Drosophila melanogaster: one gene and its partners. The protein of the gene in region 1 binds, or shares a complex with, the protein of each later gene. Each region holds a gene or a part of one and is shown in the gene's direction. Other genes may lie near its edges. The genes, in order: Dp, HDAC1, Myb and E2f2.

Region 1 (7,794 bases):
CATCGAAGAATATGGTCGTCGAAAACTTTGTTTATCCTTGTAGCCAACATTGCAATTAAAAGTAAACAACAATCAGATAAATCTACAATCTTCTTTAGAAGTAGTGTTTCCCCGCAAAACAGGAATATGTATCTTTCATTTCATCTTTTGGCGACTTTATTTATTATATTAATTGTTCCCATGTCCAGAGTTTTCATCAATGCTCATGGCAATATCCTACATAAATGTTAAAAACCTGCCACCATACGCTCATATACATATGTATATATTTATATTGTATTCCTTTAGTCCGGCGGAGCCACAGGAATGATGATGGACCACCTGCCCTCCAACGATAAGCACGTCCACGCTGACTTCTACAATGATTTTGATGATCTGTTCGATGAAGACAACTGGGCCAAGATGAAAACCGATGGGAAACAGTAGAGGCCACCACGCAATAAATGGATTGAAAGATTTGTATTCGCGACTCGTTCTTCTGTCTGTAATTTTACTTGCACAATCAGCGATCATTGGTGTATAAAAAATTGCTTCAACTATTGTTTAATCGCTTATTATATTCATTTGGTTCGTATAACTAAGGTAAATTGCCATGTGAGATAGTGCCGAGGTGGATATGAACTTTGGCTTAGCGTAAATCAACAAAATGCATAATTTTGTACAAAAAAACGAAACTATTAACTAAATTTATCGAACTGAGTTTCAGGTGGAATGAAGCAATCATAATTGAGATAAATACAAATGTACACAATAACCTAATGGATCCGTGGAAGTTGTTAACCAAGTTGTAGGCCCTCTGCAAAGCTATCCGTCCAACGGCGTGCCCAGATAGACCATCGAGACCTCGGTATTGCCGTAGACAGCGGATACTGTGGGATAGAGCTTTTTGTCCGGCAGGCCTGCAAGGTGAAAGTGCATAGAATCGTTCGTATCGCTGGTATCACCAAACTATTTCCCCTTACCCCGGAAGGCCACACCGAGGAACTCGTAGTTCTTCTCGAACGACAAGGTGTTGTCCTCGCAGTCGAGAATGACGCGTATCCGCTCGCCCACTTGGTACTTGGGAGCATTGTTCAGCAGCGGGTAACTGCCCTGCATGTCGCCGTTGTGCAGCAGGTGGTTCTCGACCAGATTCCAGCCCCAGCTCTGGTCGTCGGAGCCGAGCAGAGCCACATAGCCGTGACACTGTAGAGCCGCCTCCTTGGTAGATATGCCGATGACGGCCACAGTGCCCAGCGGTCCCTCCCATATCACCTCCCAGGTGTGACGACCGTGGCGGAATCCTATCTTGCCCCGGGCCGCGTCTGTGCTCTGCGCCACGGGATTGCTGCGGGAATGGAGGGACATACATATAACGCCGACTCAAGCAAACCGAATACCTTACCGATGCAGGGTGAATCCGTTCGGCTTAATGTACACATTCCTCGAACAGTCGTTGGGGCTCCAGGCGTGAAAATAGGCCCGCAGCTTCGTCTTGTACGTGGAGACGGAGGCCAGCAGGTCCGATTTGAGGGACTCCTTGGGCAGCTTGTTCAGGCAGTGCCAGCGCCAGACGTCGCTGTTCTCGTCGTTGAGGAAGTGGTACCAACTTTTGCACACCTGCGAGCAATGACTGAGGTCGTCCAGCTCCAGGTAGGAGAAGATTACCTCCAGCACATTGTAATTGCACAGCGCCGCCACCGGATCGACCATTGTGTGCGTGTGCGCTCCGCTGCTGGGCTCGTGTAGATAGCTGCTTGGATTTACCCGTTCCTGTTGATTGTCATTTTCCCACACCAACCAAATGGGTAAAAATAAAACTCGAAAACTTTAATATTCTGCGATTCAGGGTGACCGTTGGCGGGCTGCCAGCGAAATACCGCTCACCTGGACAAAGTGGCAACTTTGTTTACATCCGCGACCAGTGTGCGATAGCGACTGTCGCACACAGCTGCTTACAACACTGCGTAAATTGATGCGTAAATTGGCGCGCACTGTCTGCCATTTCATTCGCACCCGCACACAGCCTGCTTTGCCTTTCCCACATGAAAACGAAAAGCAGCCACTTGGTGGAAATTTTGTGACCATTTTGTTGCGCTTAGAAATTGCGGAAATTCGCGCTGCTGCCAGCCGTTCGATAGCTAAAAGTTCGCCGTATCTTTTGCCACTAATCTCGTGAAAATCCGTGCGCCGAAACACCGCGAAAAAGGCCACCGAAAAAGGGCCGCCGCTGTGAGTGTGTGTGAGCAGCAGAAAAGAAAAAAAAAATGCCCTGCCGCTGGAAGTGAAAAATGCGCTCGCCATTTTGACTTGGGCGACACTTATTTTTTGTACAAGTGCGCTCCCCATTGCAGTCGTCGTCGTCGTGGTCGTGGTCCGCATCCGGATTTGCACACGTGCCCCAGTCCGTGGGTGCAGTACGTCCGCCTATCCACCGCCGTCGCCCATTCCAGCTCCATTTGCCCCCCCCTAGCACACACGTTGCGGCGAAACGGCACGTAGCACTGCTCTTTCCTTTTGTTTTTGGCGGTCCACCTGGTGAGCGGTAAGCGACAACAACAAGATCACTTGATCTCCGGCGGCCGAAAAATGGCGCATTCGACGGGCGGTACGGTGAAGACCGATGAGGTGAACTTCTTCTTCCGGAACGAGCACGGTAAGTGGGCGGAAGCGGTGTCCTGTAATAGGAGTTTTGCTCACGATGGAGTGAGTGCACTCCCTCCCTCCGCTATAGTCCATCATACACACACACCCCCTCATACACAAGGCGACCCACACAGATACGCTACAAAGTTGCATGGGCAGCGTAAAACGCCATCTTTGCTTTTTCGGGTTTCTTTTGCCTACCGTATTCATCGTTTGATACGCTTTGCGGGGGGAGGCCAGCGAGACGAACCGAAAAGAGTGCTAGAAATTGGCAAAAAGTAATAATAAAAGACAGAGACCCCCGCGAAATAACAACTTATATCAGTAAGCCACCCAGACCCGCCCCCTTCTGCCATCTACGCCCATCGCCCAGTTGGCGCGCTTGCTCACACACACACATGCACGCACACTAGCACGCGCGCGTTTTCTCCTACTTATTTTTTTGTTTTTTCATTGGGCGGCGAACAGCTGATTACTTCGCCGCCACTGCGAATTCGCTTTGAGGATTTAGCATGAAGTGAAGTAGTGATAAATCGTTGATTTCAGCTACGTACAAAGGTATTATTGTGAGGGACATTGTAAATTCAACTTGAAACAAATGTATCTGAACAGCGTGACATTCTGCCATATCTTAGCGAGTGGGAGAGAGACGGGGCGCACCGCCAAGAGAGATCGGGGTGAGAGAAAAAAGGCCACAGCAAGAACAACACTGCCACACACACACACACGTAGTCAGCCACGAAGCTGAAGCCCAAAACAGGCGAGAGCAAATAGGTGTAAGCGCTGTACACGTGTGTAGTTGTCCGTCGCCGCGTTTATGCGGTATTTACCGTACCCCGCAGTACTGAACTGATTAACTTCATGAGTTTCATTCAGTCATGATAGCAAAGAAGAAGATATGGATAGCTTTATGACGTGCTTTTATTTGTATAAAATGTCTCTTTAATCCCCAATATGTAAAGAAATAGTAATTTTTAATCAGTGATATTGCTCTTTGTTGAATATGAAGCGCGCATAAACGCTTTATATAGACCAGTATATCAGCCTGTTCGTACCAGCGAGTTACCTGGTTTGTAGTTATCTGCTGGTTGACTGGTGCAGACGAACTATGGAACTGCTTCTCCAATTGTAGGGATTATGGTTTCACCTGCATTTTGGGACTCTGCCTAGGCATTGTAGGATAACTCCCGCCGAGTTTAAGACTCCCATCGTTACCATCTGGTGGGACAGTCCGGCATTTTCTCGCATGTGTCCGCTGCTCAAGCCCCCGTGAGTCTGACTCACTTGCAGGTGTGTGTGCGTGTGATGTGCCCGTGGGTGCGGGAGAGTTGGCAGGTATTTTTAGCGCTCGACCCTTTGCGGTTTTTGTTTTGGGCATCTTCATCTCCATTATGCGTTGTCCACCTGCTTTGTTGTTATGATTATGCAAATATTGGGCTGGCGACAGGTGAACAATTATTACATCGAATGAATACCATCTAAAACTGGAAATGTTTAGAAAAGCCGGTTGGATACGAAACCCAGGGGTGCCAACCGAGTAGTCTTAATGGGTTTCCGGTTAATTCTGCCTTGATATTATAGTTGCTTTGGAATGGAAGTGCTCATAGTGTTGGATATACCAAATTAGCAGTAAATAAAATTTACTAAAGAACGCAACTAAGAACAGTGATTTGAAATGTCACGCTTTTAAAAATACTAACCGGTATCATATTTGCTCTTACTTTTTCTTCTGCTTAGGCTTCTGCTTGATTTATTGTCTTTCCAGTTAAAAGTCGAATTGTGAGTTTTAATGGGAAACCTATAATCGCACTATATTTAATTCAAATTATATTCGAACTTGGATTAATCCGACTAATGACTGATCAACAATCTTGTCGAGTCACGAACTTTAGTATCGAACCATCTCTAATTGGTTAAGGGTCACGTGGTTGCCATCACTAATGTCCAGGCGATCTGGTTTCGGGTTGTTTATGCTTCTGCATTTGTATCCTTGTCACACCGATTGAAACACACGCACACTCACCACCAGCACGTGAGTGTGGGTATACCTTGTGTGTATGTGTGTATGCACCCCAATCTTAATGTGCCGCTCGCCTTTCGTTGTTGTATTCCGACTCCAGTGCGCTTAACTCGCTCCATTCCATTCTCTTCACTTCGCTGCGATGAATTCACCGTATATACGGCGAAAAAACGCATCGTTGATAGTACCACACATACATTCAGTTACTCGCTAACACTCTGACACCCATGTGTGTGTCTGTGGAGTACATGCAGTTTTGTTATCAACGACGGCATTTCAGTCGCGTGTTATGTGTATATCGGAAACTAAGGAACCTCCGCATCTTCCAATTTCCAATTCTGCAGGACAAATATCCAAAATGCTGAAGCCGGCCCAGAACAAGTCCGAAATGGAGGGAGGTAAGCCCGTGGCGGTGGTCTACGCCACCGGCTCATCCGCGCGCAACAGCGGAAGTGCTAGCGGCATCGGCAACGTGGGACGCATGGGCGCCTTTAGTCAGATGGTAAGTGTAGAACGCGGTTGCTCACGTTGCTTACACTTAGTACCTAACGATCCGATTTAAACGCAGGGCAGTCAAGGGCAGTTTATACGACTGCAGGACAACGGACTGTCCATTCCAAAAACAGAAGGTAAGCGTGTGATCCTCCTCTTACCACTTCAATTAATCATTGTATCCCTTATTGTAGCAGGTACCACCTACACCACCGTTTCGGCGCAAAAGACTTCGGGTGCTGGCAGTGGTCATTACGACTTGCCCTTGAAGGGAGATCGCTATGTGAAGTTTACACCAAATCCCATAAAAATGAAATCAAAACTGTAAGTAGTAACCAACCGAGCAGGATCGAGGAGGATACTATAGCTTTGTTCCTTCCCAAACAGCCATGCCATTCAGAGCAACTCGTTGCACTCCATGTCGGCCTCCTCATCGTCCGTTCAAAGGAAACGCAAGCCGGACAAGGCAGGCAAAGGTTTGCGCCATTTCTCGATGAAGGTATGCGAAAAGGTGGAGGAGAAGGGCAAGACCACCTACAATGAGGTGGCCGACGACCTGGTCAGCGAGGAGATGAAGAACAATGCGTACGACAACAACTGTGATCAAAAGAATATCCGACGTCGTGTCTACGATGCGCTCAACGTACTGATGGCAATCAATGTTATTTCCAAGGACAAGAAGGAGATTCGCTGGATAGGACTGCCCGCAAATTCGACAGAGGTGGGACTTGTGTTCACCAAAGGCACCAAACTCCATGCTAATGTGATTATTTTGTCCCCTTTTCATAGACATTTCTGGCCCTGGAAGAGGAAAACTGTCAGCGCCGCGAGCGAATAAAACAGAAAAACGAAATGTTGCGCGAAATGATCATGCAGCATGTGGCGTTCAAGGGATTGGTCGAGCGGAACAAGCGAAACGAGAGCCAAGGCGTGGTGCCTTCCCCGAATGCCTCGATCCAGCTACCGTTCATCATCGTGAACACGCACAAGTCCACGAAAATCAACTGCAGTGTGACCAACGACAAGTGAGCGCTCACACTCAGTCGGAGTATGGCTTGTATTCTATTTCCCATATATCGTTTCAGGTCCGAATACATATTCAAGTTCGACAAAACCTTCGAAATGCACGATGACATTGAGGTGCTCAAGCGTATGGGATTCCTATTGGGTGAGTGTGTTTAATATTGGGCATTCGGGATAAGAAATTCATTGCATATGCTATTACCTGCAGGACTGGATAAGGGCGAATGCACGCCGGAGAACATTGAACGAGTCAAGTCGTGGGTGCCTCCAAACCTTGCCAAATACGTAGAAGGTATGACCATATATTGTCTTCCAATTCACTGTTATTAAACTTTATATTTGGCCCAGCCTACGGCACCGGCAAGACTGGCGAAAATATGTACGAATCGGATGACGAGGACAATGAGTTCAACGGGTACCTGGAGTCGGCCAATGAGTCCCAGGGCTTTGCACAACACTCGGCACAACACACCACCGATGGCGAGTTCAAGCTGGAGATGGATGATGACGAGCTGGACGACGACATTGATTGAGCTGATGGTGCCGCCGTCATTGTGCCAGCCATGGCCGATGCGGACACGGATGCGGATGGAGGAGCAGATGCTGATGCGGAGGACACGTTTAGTTTTACGTTTATCAACGCTTTGTTAGGTTTGCCACGGCCCCCTGGTTAGTCAGGAGCCGCACTCCACTCCAATCCACTCCACACCCAATCCGACCCACCCACACAATTGGTTTTGTTTACTTCTCAATGAGACTCTTAAATTATATATATACAATCTCGCAGCGACGAGAAAGATTCGGTAGTTCATGTATGTAAGTGTAGTTTGCATACACAGTTTGTAATTGTATCATTGAAGATTTATGTTTAAGCTGAAACGTTTTTAAAATAATTTGTCTAGTTAAGGAGAACGCGTTTTTAGTTCAAACCACAATTCACATAAGGCAATACCGCGAAACCACATGCCCAGACTAATGTTCACTCTCTAATTAGTTGTTATCAGTCTCCCTTTTCCCCCCAATGGCCTTTTCATGTTTGGGTAGGCTTAAGCAAAAGCGATAATGTTATGGGTAATTGTCTCTTAATAATATAATATACCAAAACTGTACACAACCGCAGTGAAATGCAATTATTTTTAGAATGCCACGAGCAGTTTGAACTGCAGACAAGAGCGAACATATGAAATATGTTTAATTTGCTAACACCCTTTGACAAAGCGATTCTTTTAGATTCTCAAAACCCAAATTTTAAGTTGACAAGGGAGTGCAGATAGTTGCGAAATAATCAACCTACCTAATTAGTAATAACAATTAAAACACGATATACATTTTCAGAATTTGTATTTATATTATTGAACCCTCTTCAAGTGAATACAACAGCATGCAAATACAAATTAGTAGTCAAGTATAAGGCGTTAACAATTAAGTGTCGAGCATGTAGTTGTGTAATGAAACGAAATAATTGCATGGATGGAAAGGAAATTGCAAACAAGTGAGACGAAATCGAACCGAGTGACAAGTTAATAAAGAAGTAATTTGCATATTGTAAAATATGATAAACAGAGAATTTAATCTTTTCCTCCCTTCTGCTTGCACCCAACCCAAGCAATAAGTCCAATAATCCATGACATCGC
Region 2 (5,052 bases), on another chromosome or scaffold:
ATGGTTAGTATGTGTCGAAATATAACAAACAACAAGTCTTAAGATTCCTTAAGTTAAGCTTTATTCCATTTCTTCATTATTTTTTCATCTTTCGACTTTTCACTGTACACATTATCAGCCACAGAAGCATAAATAGAAATGCAGCGGGAGAGCAAATCTAGCACTCTTTTTTTTAGTTTTTGTGTTTACTTATTTGCGTTCATTGGCTTCTCTTCCTAACGGCACTTCGGGCCAAGGAGGTGCGAATGAAAAGGAGCTATAATCCGGTTTTATATCGCACTTACCTTTTTTAATTAGAATAAATCAAAACTTTGCTGCGGATTCCGATTCTCTTTATTTGCTATCAAAAGCAAAGCGGACTTTACAGTTACGCCTGTTAAAGTTGTTGTTTTTACTGCACGGTCTGCGGGCCAAATAAAAACAACAAATACTATATTTTTGCTGTTTACTTTACGCCGAACTTCGACGCTAATTGGAAAAAGAGATGCGGGAAGGAGAGAGAGCAATGAAAACTATAATTAAACGCCAGCAAAAAAAGGTCTTAAATATCCTGCGGGCACAGCAACAACAACAGAGAAAAATACAGGAGGAAAACCAAGAGAAAGAAGGGGAGAAGTTAACATAAAGTAACAGAAAGTTGCGAAGGAGAGGCGTTGGTCTCCGAGGGGGAAAGGCATAGGAAAAGACTCTTAAGGGAAAAAGAGAAAAGTCGGAAAGAGAAAAGCTGCGCAGGATATTTTAGCCGCCTATGAAAAATGTTAATTTTGTTTTAAATGTTCACTGCGGGTTTCATATGTTTTTTCTTGCATTATTGGCCACTTCGCTTTGTCACTTTACTTCGGTTTTAATTTTTCCACTTCTTCATTCGCCCAGTGAGTGTGTGCGTGCGAGGGAGATGGAGCGAGAGAGCGTGTTTGTGTTTCCACTGCAACTCCATTCTTCTTTCTCTTTTTTCACACACACACACAGGGCACACACGCACACTTGCACATGGGGGAGTTGGAAACTTACGCGTCGCCGTTTTATTAATTTTATTCAATTAACAATCGCCTCTAATTCAGCAACTCCAAAACACTACAAAATCTCGTTGTACTTGAGCACTATTGTTTGTCGATAAGAAGCCGCCGAAAAACGCCGACCGAGGAGGAAAATCACCCGCGCTGGAAAATCGCGTCCGAGTCGTTCAACGGTGAATTTTAGAGTGAGAAGGAAAATCGTGGGAAACTGCGGTGGATTTTAGAGCGAGATGGGTGATGCTCTGAAAGAGAGAGAGGGAATGCACCCTCTGGCGATGGGCCAAGTTCGATATTAGCATGGATTCCTATCGATTAATCGACTTAACATTATTTACCCCGGACTACAACCTATTACTTCTGTGTTTTTGTTTTTCTTAAATTATAATGAATCATTTATATTTGTATAGAAAATATTGAAATCAATTAGTTTATTCGAATGCTTAAACTTAAATGTTTTCCAACAACATCTCTAGTTCCAGCTTCAGACTCTGCAACGTGATCTTAGCCAATAAACTTTGCTTTATAAACTTATAATTGATCCTTGCTATTTTTCCAAAAAATATGTCGTGATATTTGATAATTTTTGATAAGTACATAGGTCTGATTGTTTATATATCTAATAAAAAATGACCACTCTGTATGAAGAGGGTAATCGTATTTCATATGTAAATTTATTAAATATATTTCTTTAATAAATAATTAAATATATTTGTTTGGTATTTTCGGTATTCATGCAGTTAGTATTAAAAGTATATTCTGCAGAGCCGGGAAGTGTGGATTTAAAAAAGTCCGCGGTCACACTGCCCATCTGCAGAGGTTTCCTCTTCGCGAATTTGTCTTGTGCGCTCCGATTTTGGCTATATAGTTGCGCCAAAGTGCCAAAAATCGGACCGGCACCAAAGTAAACCATCTTCTGAGCTCGCAAGTTCATCCGATCGACGAAGGATAGAAAAACATCGACTTTAAGGGGATTTAAGACCCGCCAACAGCACCGCAAAATGCAGTCTCACAGCAAAAAGCGCGTTTGTTACTACTACGACAGTAAGTTTTGAGCATTTAAATGGAAGTAAAAGGCCTACTAGATGGGTAATTTGTGTTTACAAAGTGCCAGCTAGGGTTACCATGTCGACTTTGTGTTTTTTCCGCATCCACTTAGCATCAGATGATAGCATTTTTGCAAATTTCAAGTTTTACGGCGACTGTACGAGCGCGTTCCGGTCCACAGCGCACTTTTTCCATACGACCGCAGTGCGTTTGTATGCGTTTGTGTGTGTATGTACCTGATGTCTATCTTCCTCTTCTGTGTGTTTTTGTTGCTTTTTCGTTCGGGGCGAAAGTGCTACTACTGCGGTCGTTCGGAAAAAGTGCTGCTCTCAGGCAGACGCCTCGCCGACAGTGGCCTTAAAATTTGTATTCCACATAGCGTGGCAAATAATTACTTTTTCAACGTGCTCATAATTGCGATTTTTGATCCATAGGCGACATTGGCAACTACTACTATGGCCAGGGTCATCCCATGAAGCCCCATCGCATACGCATGACCCACAACCTGCTGCTCAACTATGGGCTCTATCGAAAAATGGAAATATACGTGAGTTACTTTATTAATATGTGATGATAGATATATATATATATATGATAGATTTAAACGCGAATTTCTCTATTCTAGCGTCCCCATAAAGCCACTGCCGATGAGATGACCAAGTTCCACTCGGACGAGTACGTCCGGTTCTTGCGATCCATTCGGCCGGACAACATGTCGGAGTACAACAAGCAGATGCAGCGTTTCAATGTCGGCGAAGATTGTCCCGTCTTCGATGGACTATACGAGTTTTGCCAACTCTCCGCCGGAGGATCCGTAGCTGCGGCCGTAAAACTGAATAAGCAAGCCTCGGAGATCTGCATCAATTGGGGCGGTGGGCTGCATCACGCCAAAAAATCGGAAGCCTCGGGCTTCTGCTACGTCAACGACATTGTTCTGGGAATTCTGGAACTGCTTAAATACCATCAGCGTGTTCTCTACATAGATATAGACGTCCATCACGGCGATGGCGTGGAGGAGGCGTTCTATACCACCGATCGTGTGATGACTGTCAGCTTCCACAAGTACGGAGAGTATTTCCCGGGCACTGGCGATCTGCGAGACATTGGCGCCGGCAAGGGAAAGTACTATGCGGTGAATATACCCCTGCGTGATGGCATGGATGATGATGCGTACGAGAGCATATTTGTGCCCATTATCAGCAAGGTGATGGAAACATTCCAGCCGGCAGCCGTGGTGTTGCAGTGTGGCGCCGATTCGCTGACTGGCGATCGGTTAGGCTGCTTCAATCTCACCGTCAAGGGTCACGGCAAGTGCGTGGAGTTCGTGAAGAAATATAACCTGCCATTCCTGATGGTCGGCGGTGGTGGTTATACCATTCGTAATGTATCCCGCTGCTGGACCTATGAGACCTCCGTTGCACTGGCCGTGGAGATAGCCAACGAACTGCCCTACAACGATTACTTCGAGTACTTTGGGCCCGATTTTAAGCTGCACATTAGTCCCAGCAATATGACGAATCAGAATACATCCGAGTACCTGGAGAAGATCAAGAACCGTCTGTTCGAGAACCTGCGCATGCTGCCTCACGCTCCGGGCGTTCAAATCCAAGCGATTCCCGAGGATGCCATCAACGATGAGTCCGACGACGAGGACAAGGTCGACAAGGATGATCGCCTGCCGCAGAGCGACAAGGACAAGCGCATTGTGCCCGAGAACGAGTACTCCGATTCGGAGGATGAGGGCGAAGGCGGTCGCAGGGATAACCGTTCGTACAAGGGTCAGCGGAAGCGGCCGCGTCTCGACAAGGACACCAACAGCAACAAGGCATCCTCAGAGACGTCCAGCGAGATCAAGGACGAAAAGGAAAAGGGTGAGTGATTAACCATTAGTCATTTTAATTGGTTCTACTGACCACTTGTAATTTGTATTTAAACCCTACTAACTAAACCATTATGCTGTTTTCAGGCGACGGAGCTGATGGCGAGGAATCGACGGCGTCTAATACCAATAGCAACAACAACAGTAACAACAAGAGCGATAATGATGCCGGAGCGACAGCTAATGCCGGATCCGGTTCGGGATCAGGTTCCGGTGCCGGGGCCAAGGGCGCCAAGGAGAACAACATTTGACGTGGCGGCCGCAATTGGTTATAGAAGCCAATTAAGCGACCGCCGAAGTACAAGCCACCGGATTTCACCTAGTGTCGTCTCATTCCCGCGCCCCCCTTCACCAACACGCCCCGTAGCCATGTCCAGGGCTTTTTCTACACGCCCCTACACAAGGTCCCACTGCGATCGGCTCCTTTTTTTCAGTGGGAATATTCCCAAAGGGGGATAAATCAGTAATCAGTGGGCGGAAACACAATTTATTTTAAGATCGAAAGTGTATAGCTAAGCAAAAAGTGAATGCATACTTACAAGCGATCCAATGTGGCGAATAACGCAGAAACTAATTTAATCAAATAAAAATATTTATACATTTATTGATTTTAATTTTAATGGAAAATTAATTGAGCTGCTATCTTTTAAATATTTTCTTTTGGAAGTATTCGATTTCCCATTTTTAGCAAAATACTTACGTTTCCACATTTAGGTTTCTTAGTAACAAACTAAACGATAATTTGTAACAATTTATTTGTATTTTAACTAGGACTAGCTAACAATTTTTAAGATTTTAACTTTGAGTTTCTAAGTTGAGGAGATTGTGGCATTTGGGGGGGAGAAAAGGATCCACTGGGGGTTTTCCCGCCCACCAGTTGACAGTTTGTGACTAGTCGGCGAGGTTTTCCACGGATTGCAGTGGGCGGAGAACTGGAAACTGGCTGCGGTGCTAATCCAGCGATAATATCGAGTCGATGCTGGTGCGATTACTGCGCGGCTGCAGACGCGGTCCACCCAAGTAACTAATTGGATTCGCGAACTGGCGCTGCAGCAGTGAGTTTTCCAGGAAAAGCGTCGGCGGCGGGGGTGGGCGCGTCACTTTCGAGTGATG
Region 3 (5,045 bases), on another chromosome or scaffold:
TTGCTATCGTTTATATTAACTTATTGTTTATATTGTACTTATTGTTTATGAAGCATGTTCAAGCTAGTTTTTAAGCAGTACAAGTGCAAAAGTACCAGTCCTGATTTAACGGAAGTTGTTAAGATCGATGATTGTGTAGTCAAGGGGAATGATCAAGAAAAGAGTGATAATGTAAGTACTCGATCCGTTGCAATTGAATTATGATTTCTACATTCCCCTCAGAATATTGTTCAACGATTAAGTATCAGCAATGTAGAAAGCCTACAGACAATGCCAGGCGTTAAATCGCCAAAAGATTGGCGAACCTATACATTAACTAACCATCCCGGCATTATTGTGATTCGGAATCCATTCTCGGAACGAGGCCGGCGTTATTGGAGCGCCCGATGTCTGCGGGATTTTCCGCGAACGCCAAATATAGTCAATTTAAATGAAAGGCTCTTCGATGAATCCGTCAGGTCGGACTGGTGGAAACAGCTTAATCTGTGCAGCGATGGCGTTGAGTTCCAACGTATAAAATCCGCGATGCGTTGGACGACATTTGGATATCATCACAACTGGGACACGAAGATCTATGATGAGGAGATGCAGTCGCCGTTTCCCGAAGATTTGAGCAGTCTATGCGGATTGTTTGCGCAAGCGTTGGGATACGCGGATTTTAAGCCAGAAGCCGCAATTGTAAATTACTATCCAGTTGGTAGTACGTTATCGGGTCACACAGATCACTCTGAACCAAACAAATCGGCCCCTTTGTTTTCTTTTAGGTAATATATCACGGATTAAACATATCCGTGCAGCTAATTTTTTTTTAATTTTATGCTTACAGTTTTGGTCAGACTGCAATATTTCTAATTGGTGGAAGATCTTTAGAAGAAAAGCCAACCGCTATCTACCTTCAATCCGGGGACGTTATGATAATGTCCGGAGAATCGCGTCTATGCTATCACGCAGTTCCTCGTATCATCAAAACTCAGGCTTCCGCGACTTTATCACTGATAATTGAAGATGTCGATAATGCAGATATTAAAACGCGTACAATTGATAAAGATTTATTTCATGATGTTGGCAACCCTCAATTTTGGGAGCCTTTTTCGAGATATATGGACGATTCACGTATTAATATTAATATACGTCAAGTTTTAAATCCAGGAGATGTTAAGCTTTAACCCCTCCTTGGAAAAATTTTTAATTTTATAGTATTTTACAAAATAAAAAACTGCATTTCAATTGAAAACTAAAGAAACATAGCAATTAACGTTGAAGTGATGCGTTCAATGGAAATATCTTAAATGTATAGGTGAAGTTAATAGTTTTATAAATATATTTTTCAGTCCCTATAAATGCTACTGACAACTAAATTTGGCAATTCTGACAAAATTATTTTATCCGATGGCAACTTTTTAACAATATTTCCAAGAAGTTGATAGCTAAATATCGATACTATCCCAGCTATCGTACAAGATATTGACTTCTAGTGGAAACGTGCCGATTACCGTAGTGATTATTTATCGATAGATTTTAATCGTTTTGAATTACAACGCTAGTGCTCGTGTAACGGTCACACTAAGTACTACATTTAATATAATAAGATGCGACGCCGTAAAATTCCAGTGTGAAAACGTGAATGAACTGATCAAAAACACCAAAGTGTGTACCCATAGCCCAGCAGTTTGAATTTGAAATAACGGTAGCACCACTTTAGATGAAGACAAATGTGCGAGTGGTAATTTTTTTCCCCCGTTTTCCTCAGTGCTAAATATAGAGCATCAAAATGTTTGGCATAAACGTAATATCGTAAAACTTGCATCTGCTTTTTAGTTCGCTGCCTGAATGAGTATGTCCACAAATATCTGTAATCTTCAAGTAACAAAGAACACGAATCCAAACCAAAATCGCCTCGAGGAGCAGCAAACAAAACTATTCGATTTTGGGCGGACCGAGAGCGATGCGACGCACCCAATATTGCGCAGCGATCATCAACGTGAACTGGTCGACTGCCTGACGTGCGGAAATCAATTCAAGTGTAACTCGTACAGCGACATTTGCTCGCACTACATATTCTACCATCCGCATATTCTGGATCATTTGCCCAAGTGCTTGTACTGCAAACGCGACGTTCATCGTTTCCAGCGTGGGAACAAGTCAGAGCCGGAGATCTATCACTTTTGTTCGCCCCGCAAGCAGCGTTAAAGAACCCATACACATATATACAAAGAGCGCCATTATTCATATATATATACCTATAAAGTTGATCTTAAGATGGCAAGTGCGAGCACTGAAAACGGCGAGGAGCTGATGAATTACGGCAGCAATTCGGATTCGGAGGAGTCCGAGTACTCGGAGAACGAGGATACCCAAGTTTGCGACAAGGATTCACAACAGAACAGCAATGCCGATTCGGGCTATCCACTGGACTCGCCCGAACTACAGGACTCCAAGACGACGGGGCAAAAGGGACAGAACAAAAGCGGTAAAACTAGCATCGGTGCAGTGCATCCGAACTATGGATTCGGCAAACGCTGGTCCAAGTCCGAGGATGTGTTGCTCAAGCAGCTGGTGGAGACGCACGGTGAGAACTGGGAGATTATCGGACCGCATTTCAAGGATCGCCTGGAACAGCAAGTGCAGCAGCGTTGGGCCAAAGTCCTCAATCCGGAGCTAATCAAGGGCCCGTGGACGCGGGACGAGGACGACATGGTTATTAAGCTGGTGCGCAACTTCGGGCCCAAGAAATGGACACTAATTGCACGATATCTGAACGGACGAATTGGGAAACAGTGCCGCGAGAGATGGCACAACCACCTCAATCCGAATATCAAGAAAACGGCCTGGACCGAAAAGGAGGACGAGATTATCTACCAGGCTCACTTGGAGCTGGGCAACCAGTGGGCAAAGATTGCCAAACGTCTGCCCGGACGCACCGATAACGCCATTAAAAACCATTGGAATTCAACAATGCGTCGCAAATATGACGTCGAACGCAGATCGGTTAATGCATCTGGTAGCGATTTGAAGAGTTCGCGAACCCATCTCATCACGCTGATCAAGTCCGGTGGCATCAGCAAGTGTATGAATAATATGCAACATAACAAGGAATCTGGTGGTGAGGCAGTTAATAAATCCGAAAACGCCGATGGCGCTTCGGTTACTGCCGTGAAAGGTGGTGATCTGGCACAGGAATCACAAGACGATCATCAAAAGGGATCCAATCTGGCACACCTCAGTATGCAGCATCTCATTAAGTTGACCATGCCGCGCCAAACACCGATCATATTGAAGCGTACACGCAAACACATTCCCGAAACTCACCATCAGGCAGGATGTTCATCAAGTGAGACATTCAACCAGGAAGAAGCCGCCGGAAACGCCAGGTCGCGACCACCGAGTTCGCCCGTCATATCGCCCATTAAGTCGCTACCCTTTTCACCGAGTCACTTCCTCAAGTCGCCTTGCCTGACCACCTTTGAAGATATGGATCTGCGGGCTAGCACGCCGGTAACCAAGGTCTATAATCGCGTTGGAATGGAGATCAAAAAGGAAATGGAGACATCGTCGATAGAAACTCCACACAAGAGTAAGTACAAGCCACTGTTGGCTTCAAATGCATCTTGAATACACACAATCATCGTTATTTGTAGGTCAACTTGGACCACGAACACCAACGCCCTTCAAAAAGGCACTTGCTGCCATCGGCAAGAAGAGGGACGGTCGTCGATACGAGCCCTCCAGCCCATCCAGTCTGGTGGAGGATCTGGCCGAAATCATCCATGAAGAGCATCTGAGCAACTCGCTGACCGCAAACAATTCCAAAATGATGGGCGCCGCCGATCAGAACTCAACGCTAAGCACCGAATACAATGCTCAGTCGCCGCCGCATATGAAACGTGCCAGGAAGTCATTGCTCTCAACTTGGAGCTCCAATCATCCATACAACGCTGGCTCCGCCAAGAGGATTCAACCCTTCGAAACCGAGACGCCCAGCAAGTTTCTCACATCGCCGGGCGATATTTTGAAGGACACGCTGTGCAGCGAACAGGACCTGCCGTTCGACGAGGGCAGAAAGGAGAATCGACCATTCCATAATCGCAGAATTAACAAGTACCGCGGTGGCTTGACCTACGATCATGTCATTGATCCCAAGTGGGCACGCGTCGCTTGTGGCAAGTCCAGAGATCAAATGTTTATGGAGGAGCAGGCTTATGCGTGCCTCAAAAATCTGTCCTGTATTTCGCGCTCCCTGAACTTCGAGAAACAAAAGTGTTTGGTGAATTCGTTCGACCGCTTTGGTTCGCTCTAAATTCTATGTGGCTATATTCAGGTATTACAAACAAAATTCTATACGCATCATCTTTATAATATTGTAGATATGAATCCCCAAATTTTCATCCAAATTGTGTTTTCGAAATAGAATTTATTGTGCTACATTTATGGCATTATTGGTTACATCCACCTTAAATTGTATCCCATTTTTTTCGGATATTTCATAAATAAATAAATGCTTAAAGTGAATGAAGCGTGTTTTAACACAAAGGACTTACATATATATATCGTTTTTTTTTGGCTTTGTAGGTTACAGAAGAGAGATATATTTATTCAAAAATATATCTATTATATTACAGAGAATATTTTGATAGACATTTGCCAAACCTTCGATTTCTAACTTTGTTCGTCTGCAATATGTTTATTGAATATGTCCAGATATTTTGGCACTAGTTCTTTCGCCGAAAAACGATCGAAATTAAAGTTCTCAAAGAATTGATCGCGCTGCTTGCGAAAGACCCTCGGCATTCTACAAAAGTTGTAGAGCTTCTTCGTCAGCGCATTGGAGGTGTTGTAGAGGTTTTCCTTTGGGTAGATTTCCGGGTAGACCAATTTGTTGGGCGCAATGGGATAACAGCCGCAGAAAGCGGCCTCCAGCATTGCTACTCCAAAAAACTCATGGTCGGCAGTTGATATCACAATGTCCCCAGTCAGCAGGGTCTTCAAGTACTCTTCACGCTCCAGATGGCCAAAGTTCACCAGCTTGCTGCCCAGTTTCTCCTGTA
Region 4 (4,882 bases), on another chromosome or scaffold:
ATCCCCCTTAATGCACCTGGCTACGCCCATGCTTTCGCCGGGCAGCAAAACAAAGTCAGCTGTTTTTGTTTATCAACGTTTGTTTTTCTCGCAAAAATGATGCGAAATGCCTTGTTAGTAAGCGGGTAAGTCAAAAAATAGACTGCAAAAGTAGATTACATTACAGTTTTGCATTCCAGCAAACTGAGACATTTGCTATCCTGTTCTATCGGGCGAAATTCGACTAGAAGCAGCAGCACAGCGAAGTCGTTGGATGCCGGCACCCAAAAGGAAGTGCGGCACCATGAGAATCACGCCTCGGAGTGGTGGAATCAAAATGGAACCATGGGTGCTCTACATGCCCTGAATGAGATTAGGTAAGCTATACAGATTTGATGTTCCAAAGGTTTATAGCTAAGTTCCTTTCCACCTTTCAGGGTTCCCTTTATCAGAGATGGCATCGTTTCGCGTGGCACTGTGAAGCCAGGTTACGTAAATACCACCAAAGTGTTGTTGGGTCAAAATATTCTGGAGGTCGGATGTGGCGGAGGATTGCTTACGGAACACTTGGCGCGCCTGGGTGCCCAGGTGGCTGGCATAGATCTTGGCGAGAAGTTAATAGAAGCTGCTCGCGAGCATCTCAAATGCTCCAGTCCGGAGTTGGCCAGCAATGTGGTGTACAAAATTGAGCCGGTGGATCAGCATGCCAAGGCCAATTGCGAATGCTATGATGCGGTGATAGTGTCTGAAGTTCTGGAGCACGTCAAAGATAAAGTGTCCCTGCTGGAGGCCAGTGTACGCAGCCTAAAGCCTGGAGGATCCATCTTTATCACCACTTTGAACAAAACCATACCCAGTTGGTTCGGTGGCGTGTTACTCAGCGAGTATGTTCTCAATCTGGTGCCCAGGGGAACGCACCACTGGGACAAAATGATTTCGCCCTTGGACGTTCAGCGCATCTTGGATACGAGTAAGTTTATCTCAGGCTTTATATTCAGATTAGGCTATTCTTTATTCTCTCGTTCATCTGCAGTGAACTGTCAGACGGTGTTGGTAAATGGAAGCACCTACGACTTTTGGAGCAACACCTGGCGATGGATCAACAACAACCAGATGTGCTACGCCTTGCAGGCGGTGAAACAAGCACAGCGCGAGTACAATTGAATTCGTATATTTATTTAACTAAAAGCTAAGTCACGAGTGTAACAACTAAGTAGTAAACTATTCGTCACCCGAGCGTGGTTTCTTAAAGTACTGCTTCTTCATGGCATGCGGACTATCACTATCTCCGCCGATTTGCTTCCTTTTAAAGTCCTTTTTGGTGTTAAACTTCTTGCTCATGCTGCCGGAGACCGTGGGCGCCTTGTTGGCATAATAAGCCTTTACCATGTCTTGGTCGGATACCTCCTTGGGCTGCTCCGGCCTTGTGCGGCCCTGCTTTTCCGCCAGATCCTGCTCCATGAGAAGTTCTAGCTCCGGATTCATGCCGCGGAAACTGAGGCGTCCGTCTATCAGGCCGGCGCATATCGAGTAGCTGGACTCCACCACAAAATTCGAGGTGGAATTGAGCATCTTCTGGTTGATCTCGTTGGAGTACAGTGCCCTGCTCTGCTCATCGTCTGCCTCCTTTTCCACTTTAACTTTTGTGCGCTGCATGAACTTCATGTCCAGGACACCACGCGAAAGTCTCGGCTTTGATTTGGATGGCATTTTCCTTATTTATTTTTGAATCTAATATAGTAGAAGTCCTTTGAGTTTAAAAACTAGGGCGAAACCATCAGGCACATTTAATTTTTTTCAAAAGCAGAATGACCGAGCACAACAAATGGGGAAAGCCAGTGCTGCAAATCATCGTTCAGCCTAGCTAGAAAACGTGGCGCGCCCTCGTGTTTATGCGATGTTTAAAGTAAATATTTAAATTACTGTTGAAAGTTAAAACAATCCTTCGTTATCAAGTTGATCTTTTTAAAATTTTAAATTCACCCTACTGACAAACAAGCTCAACTCCATCTTCATGGGCACTCTTAAGAAAACTTCCAGCTGTGCTATACATGCTCTGTAAACGATCAAGACTAGCACAGGCGCCTTCAAAGGGTTAATGCTTTTAATTTGAAACCTAAAAAAGACCCAATTTCATTTAAAAGTTGTCGCCAATATTATCGGACAATAAACCTTAACGAATGGCTAAATATTATGGAGTACTAAAATAATTATTATTTATTCGTGATGATACATTTGAAGACCAAGTAGAAAACATTGGATGATCTGTGTGTTGGACTGCAGACTAAACTAAATACAGAATTTAAATGAAAATTAATTGAAATTAAAGATCAAAATATTAAAAATGTTTACCTGTTTAAAATATAGTGTTGAAATGTGCGCAAGCATCGATTAATCGATTTACTATCGTCGTGGCAGCGTCGCTTTGCCACACTGCGCAGTGCGCACGAAGAATAGAGGGAGAATGAAAAAAATGACATAAATGGCGGAAAGCAAACCTAGCGCCAACATTCGTATTTTCGTTTAATTTTCGCTCCAAAGTGCAATTAATTCCGGCTTCTTGATCGCTGCATATTGAGTGCAGCCACGCAAAGAGTTACAAGGACAGGAGTATAGTCATCGAGTCGATTGCGGACCATGTACAAGCGCAAAACCGCGAGTATTGTTAAAAGAGACAGCTCCGCAGCGGGCACCACCTCCTCGGCTATGATGATGAAGGTGGATTCGGCTGAGACTTCGGTCCGGTCGCAGAGCTACGAGTCTACACCCGTTAGCATGGACACATCACCGGATCCTCCAACGCCAATCAAGTCTCCGTCGAATTCACAATCGCAATCGCAGCCTGGACAACAGCGCTCCGTGGGCTCACTGGTCCTGCTCACACAGAAGTTTGTGGATCTCGTGAAGGCCAACGAAGGATCCATCGACCTGAAAGCGGTACTAACACGGCCAAGCATTAAGTACTCTACCTTAACATCGTCCAAATTTCCCCTCTGCAGGCAACCAAAATCTTGGACGTACAGAAGCGCCGAATATACGATATTACCAATGTTTTAGAGGGCATTGGACTAATTGATAAGGGCAGACACTGCTCCCTAGTGCGCTGGCGGTAAGAGCCCCTTACATTTTATGAAACATTTTAGTTAGAACTAAAAATGTTAGTGACAACAAAATTAAACAAAATGGGGTGGAAGTCGCCCTTTAGCACTTAATACTTAATACAGTACAAACAGGTGGAATTTACTTTGATCATCTTCAAAGTATGATTCCACATAAATATTTCTTGATAAATTATTGATAATGTGCATTTTCCAGCGGAGGGGGCTTTAACAATGCCAAGGACCAAGAGAACTACGACCTGGCACGTAGCCGGACTAATCATTTGAAAATGTTGGAGGATGACCTAGACAGGCAACTGGAGTATGCACAGCGCAATCTGCGCTACGTTATGCAGGATCCCTCGAATAGGTCGTATGCATATGTGACACGTGATGATCTGCTGGACATCTTTGGAGATGATTCCGTATTCACAATACCTAATTATGACGAGGAAGTAGATATCAAGCGTAATCATGTAGGTATCTTACCAGTCGGAGCTCTTTAAACTAGCTTTCGAGGTTTCCCATTTCTTTCAACGAAGAAATATCTAAATTTATCGTATAATATGGGATTCAAACGAAACATTGTTTTTGTAGTACGAGCTGGCCGTGTCGCTGGACAATGGCAGCGCAATTGACATTCGCCTGGTGACGAACCAAGGAAAGAGTACTACAAATCCGCACGATGTGGATGGGTTCTTTGACTATCACCGTCTGGACACGCCCTCACCCTCGACGTCGTCGCACTCCAGCGAGGATGGTAACGCTCCAGCATGCGCGGGGAACGTGATCACCGACGAGCACGGTTACTCGTGCAATCCCGGGATGAAAGATGAGATGAAACTTTTGGAGAACGAGCTGACGGCCAAGATAATCTTCCAAAATTATCTGTCCGGTCATTCGCTGCGGCGATTTTATCCCGATGATCCGAATCTAGGTTTGTCTTCTTATCTTGCCAATTTAAAAGACCCCCTGTTTAACTTGATGCTGTCCGATGTTGCAGAAAACCCGCCGCTGCTGCAGCTGAATCCTCCGCAGGAAGACTTCAACTTTGCGTTAAAAAGCGACGAAGGTATTTGCGAGCTGTTTGATGTTCAGTGCTCCTAACTGTGGAAGGGGATGTACACCTTAGGACTATAGCTACACTGCAACTGGCCGCGTGCATTGTGCAAATATTTATGATTAGTACAATTTTGACTTTGGATTTCTCTATATCGTCTAGAAATTTTTAATTAGTGTAATACCTTGTAATTTCGCAAATAACAGCAAAACCAATAAATTCGTAAATGCACACATTGTAGGTTGTGTATTTTTTTGTTTTAGGTAACTTCCGTAAATGTCGTGGAATTATTTGGTCGTGTATGTGGAAAGTGCCAAGGAAGGTTGGAAAGATTTATAGGTTTGTTTTAATTTGGTCTAGAAAATCTATGATGCCTTGTTAAGCGTTTATGTTTACGTTTTTAGAGAGATGGTTGATGTCTTGGTATTTTTCCAGGGCTGGAAAGTGTTGTACTTGGAACAGCTGATTAAGATGTGGGATACGTTATCGAAAACGTTACTTGGTCCCCTTATGTTATTGTAACATGTACTTTATTCAAAGTATAATTGTCGAATCCGTTATCGCTGAGAAGTCTGTTGATTCTTTTGATCTCTGTAGATTTAAGTTTACATTTGGGATTTTTAACCACGGTTTTTTCAATGTGTCTGGGAAAAGTGTGCAGTAGTCCCGCTGTTTGTTTGCAGCAAAATCTGCGTTTTCCCTTTCCCAGTCTTTTTGAATGATTTAAACCGAGACATCTTTAATG

What was found.
Region 2: Dp (region 1) and HDAC1 share a complex: the UniProt entries of both Drosophila melanogaster proteins name them as parts of the DREAM complex.
Region 3: Dp (region 1) and Myb share a complex: the UniProt entries of both Drosophila melanogaster proteins name them as parts of the DREAM complex.
Region 4: Dp (region 1) and E2f2 share a complex: the UniProt entries of both Drosophila melanogaster proteins name them as parts of the DREAM complex.

What each region holds. Positions count from the first base shown.
Region 1 is NT_033778.4:13,220,478-13,228,271, forward strand, and holds Dp (DP transcription factor), read left to right. Parts: upstream 1-1,955; 5' UTR 1,956-2,568; coding exon 2,569-2,635; intron 2,636-3,113; exon of another isoform or gene 3,114-3,183; intron 3,184-3,697; exon of another isoform or gene 3,698-3,985; intron 3,986-4,844; exon of another isoform or gene 4,845-4,934; coding exon of another isoform or gene 4,935-4,989; coding exon 4,990-5,147; intron 5,148-5,213; coding exon 5,214-5,274; intron 5,275-5,331; coding exon 5,332-5,461; intron 5,462-5,524; coding exon 5,525-5,858; intron 5,859-5,926; coding exon 5,927-6,162; intron 6,163-6,222; coding exon 6,223-6,305; intron 6,306-6,368; coding exon 6,369-6,452; intron 6,453-6,508; coding exon 6,509-6,693; 3' UTR 6,694-7,268; downstream 7,269-7,794. Other genes in the region: CG17059 (uncharacterized protein), read left to right, coding at 289-426; Fsn (F-box synaptic protein), read right to left, coding at 805-899, 963-1,327, 1,385-1,692. UniProt on the Drosophila melanogaster protein: Component of the DREAM complex, a multiprotein complex that can both act as a transcription activator or repressor depending on the context. In follicle cells, the complex plays a central role in the site-specific DNA replication at the chorion loci.
Region 2 is NT_037436.4:4,624,926-4,629,977, forward strand, and holds HDAC1 (histone deacetylase 1), read left to right. Parts: upstream 1-1,808; 5' UTR 1,809-2,014; coding exon 2,015-2,057; intron 2,058-2,494; coding exon 2,495-2,607; intron 2,608-2,685; coding exon 2,686-3,931; intron 3,932-4,026; coding exon 4,027-4,190; 3' UTR 4,191-4,542; downstream 4,543-5,052. Other genes in the region: axo (axotactin), read right to left, coding at 4,891-5,052. UniProt on the Drosophila melanogaster protein: Catalyzes the deacetylation of lysine residues on the N-terminal part of the core histones (H2A, H2B, H3 and H4).
Region 3 is NC_004354.4:15,854,319-15,859,363, reverse strand, and holds Myb (Myb oncogene-like), read left to right. Parts: upstream 1-1,540; 5' UTR 1,541-1,687; exon of another isoform or gene 1,688-1,750; 5' UTR 1,751-1,836; coding exon of another isoform or gene 1,837-2,190; 5' UTR 2,191-2,259; coding exon 2,260-3,574; intron 3,575-3,638; coding exon 3,639-4,297; 3' UTR 4,298-4,532; downstream 4,533-5,045. Other genes in the region: AlkB, read left to right, coding at 55-171, 223-764, 827-1,166; CG46440 (uncharacterized protein), read left to right, coding at 1,837-2,190; CG15914 (uncharacterized protein), read right to left, coding at 4,657-5,045. UniProt on the Drosophila melanogaster protein: DNA-binding protein that specifically recognizes the sequence 5'-YAAC[GT]G-3'. Component of the DREAM complex, a multiprotein complex that can both act as a transcription activator or repressor depending on the context.
Region 4 is NT_033779.5:21,153,778-21,158,659, reverse strand, and holds E2f2 (E2F transcription factor 2), read left to right. Parts: upstream 1-1,910; 5' UTR 1,911-2,616; coding exon 2,617-2,916; intron 2,917-2,978; coding exon 2,979-3,088; intron 3,089-3,294; coding exon 3,295-3,553; intron 3,554-3,674; coding exon 3,675-4,014; intron 4,015-4,080; coding exon 4,081-4,184; 3' UTR 4,185-4,367; downstream 4,368-4,882. Other genes in the region: Coq3 (coenzyme Q3), read left to right, coding at 97-125, 180-356, 417-1,143; Mpp6 (M-phase phosphoprotein 6), read right to left, coding at 1,201-1,689. UniProt on the Drosophila melanogaster protein: Transcriptional repressor that binds to E2f sites and represses E2f-regulated target genes. Binding to E2f sites requires transcription factor Dp. Acts synergistically with Rbf2 to antagonize E2f1-mediated transcriptional activation.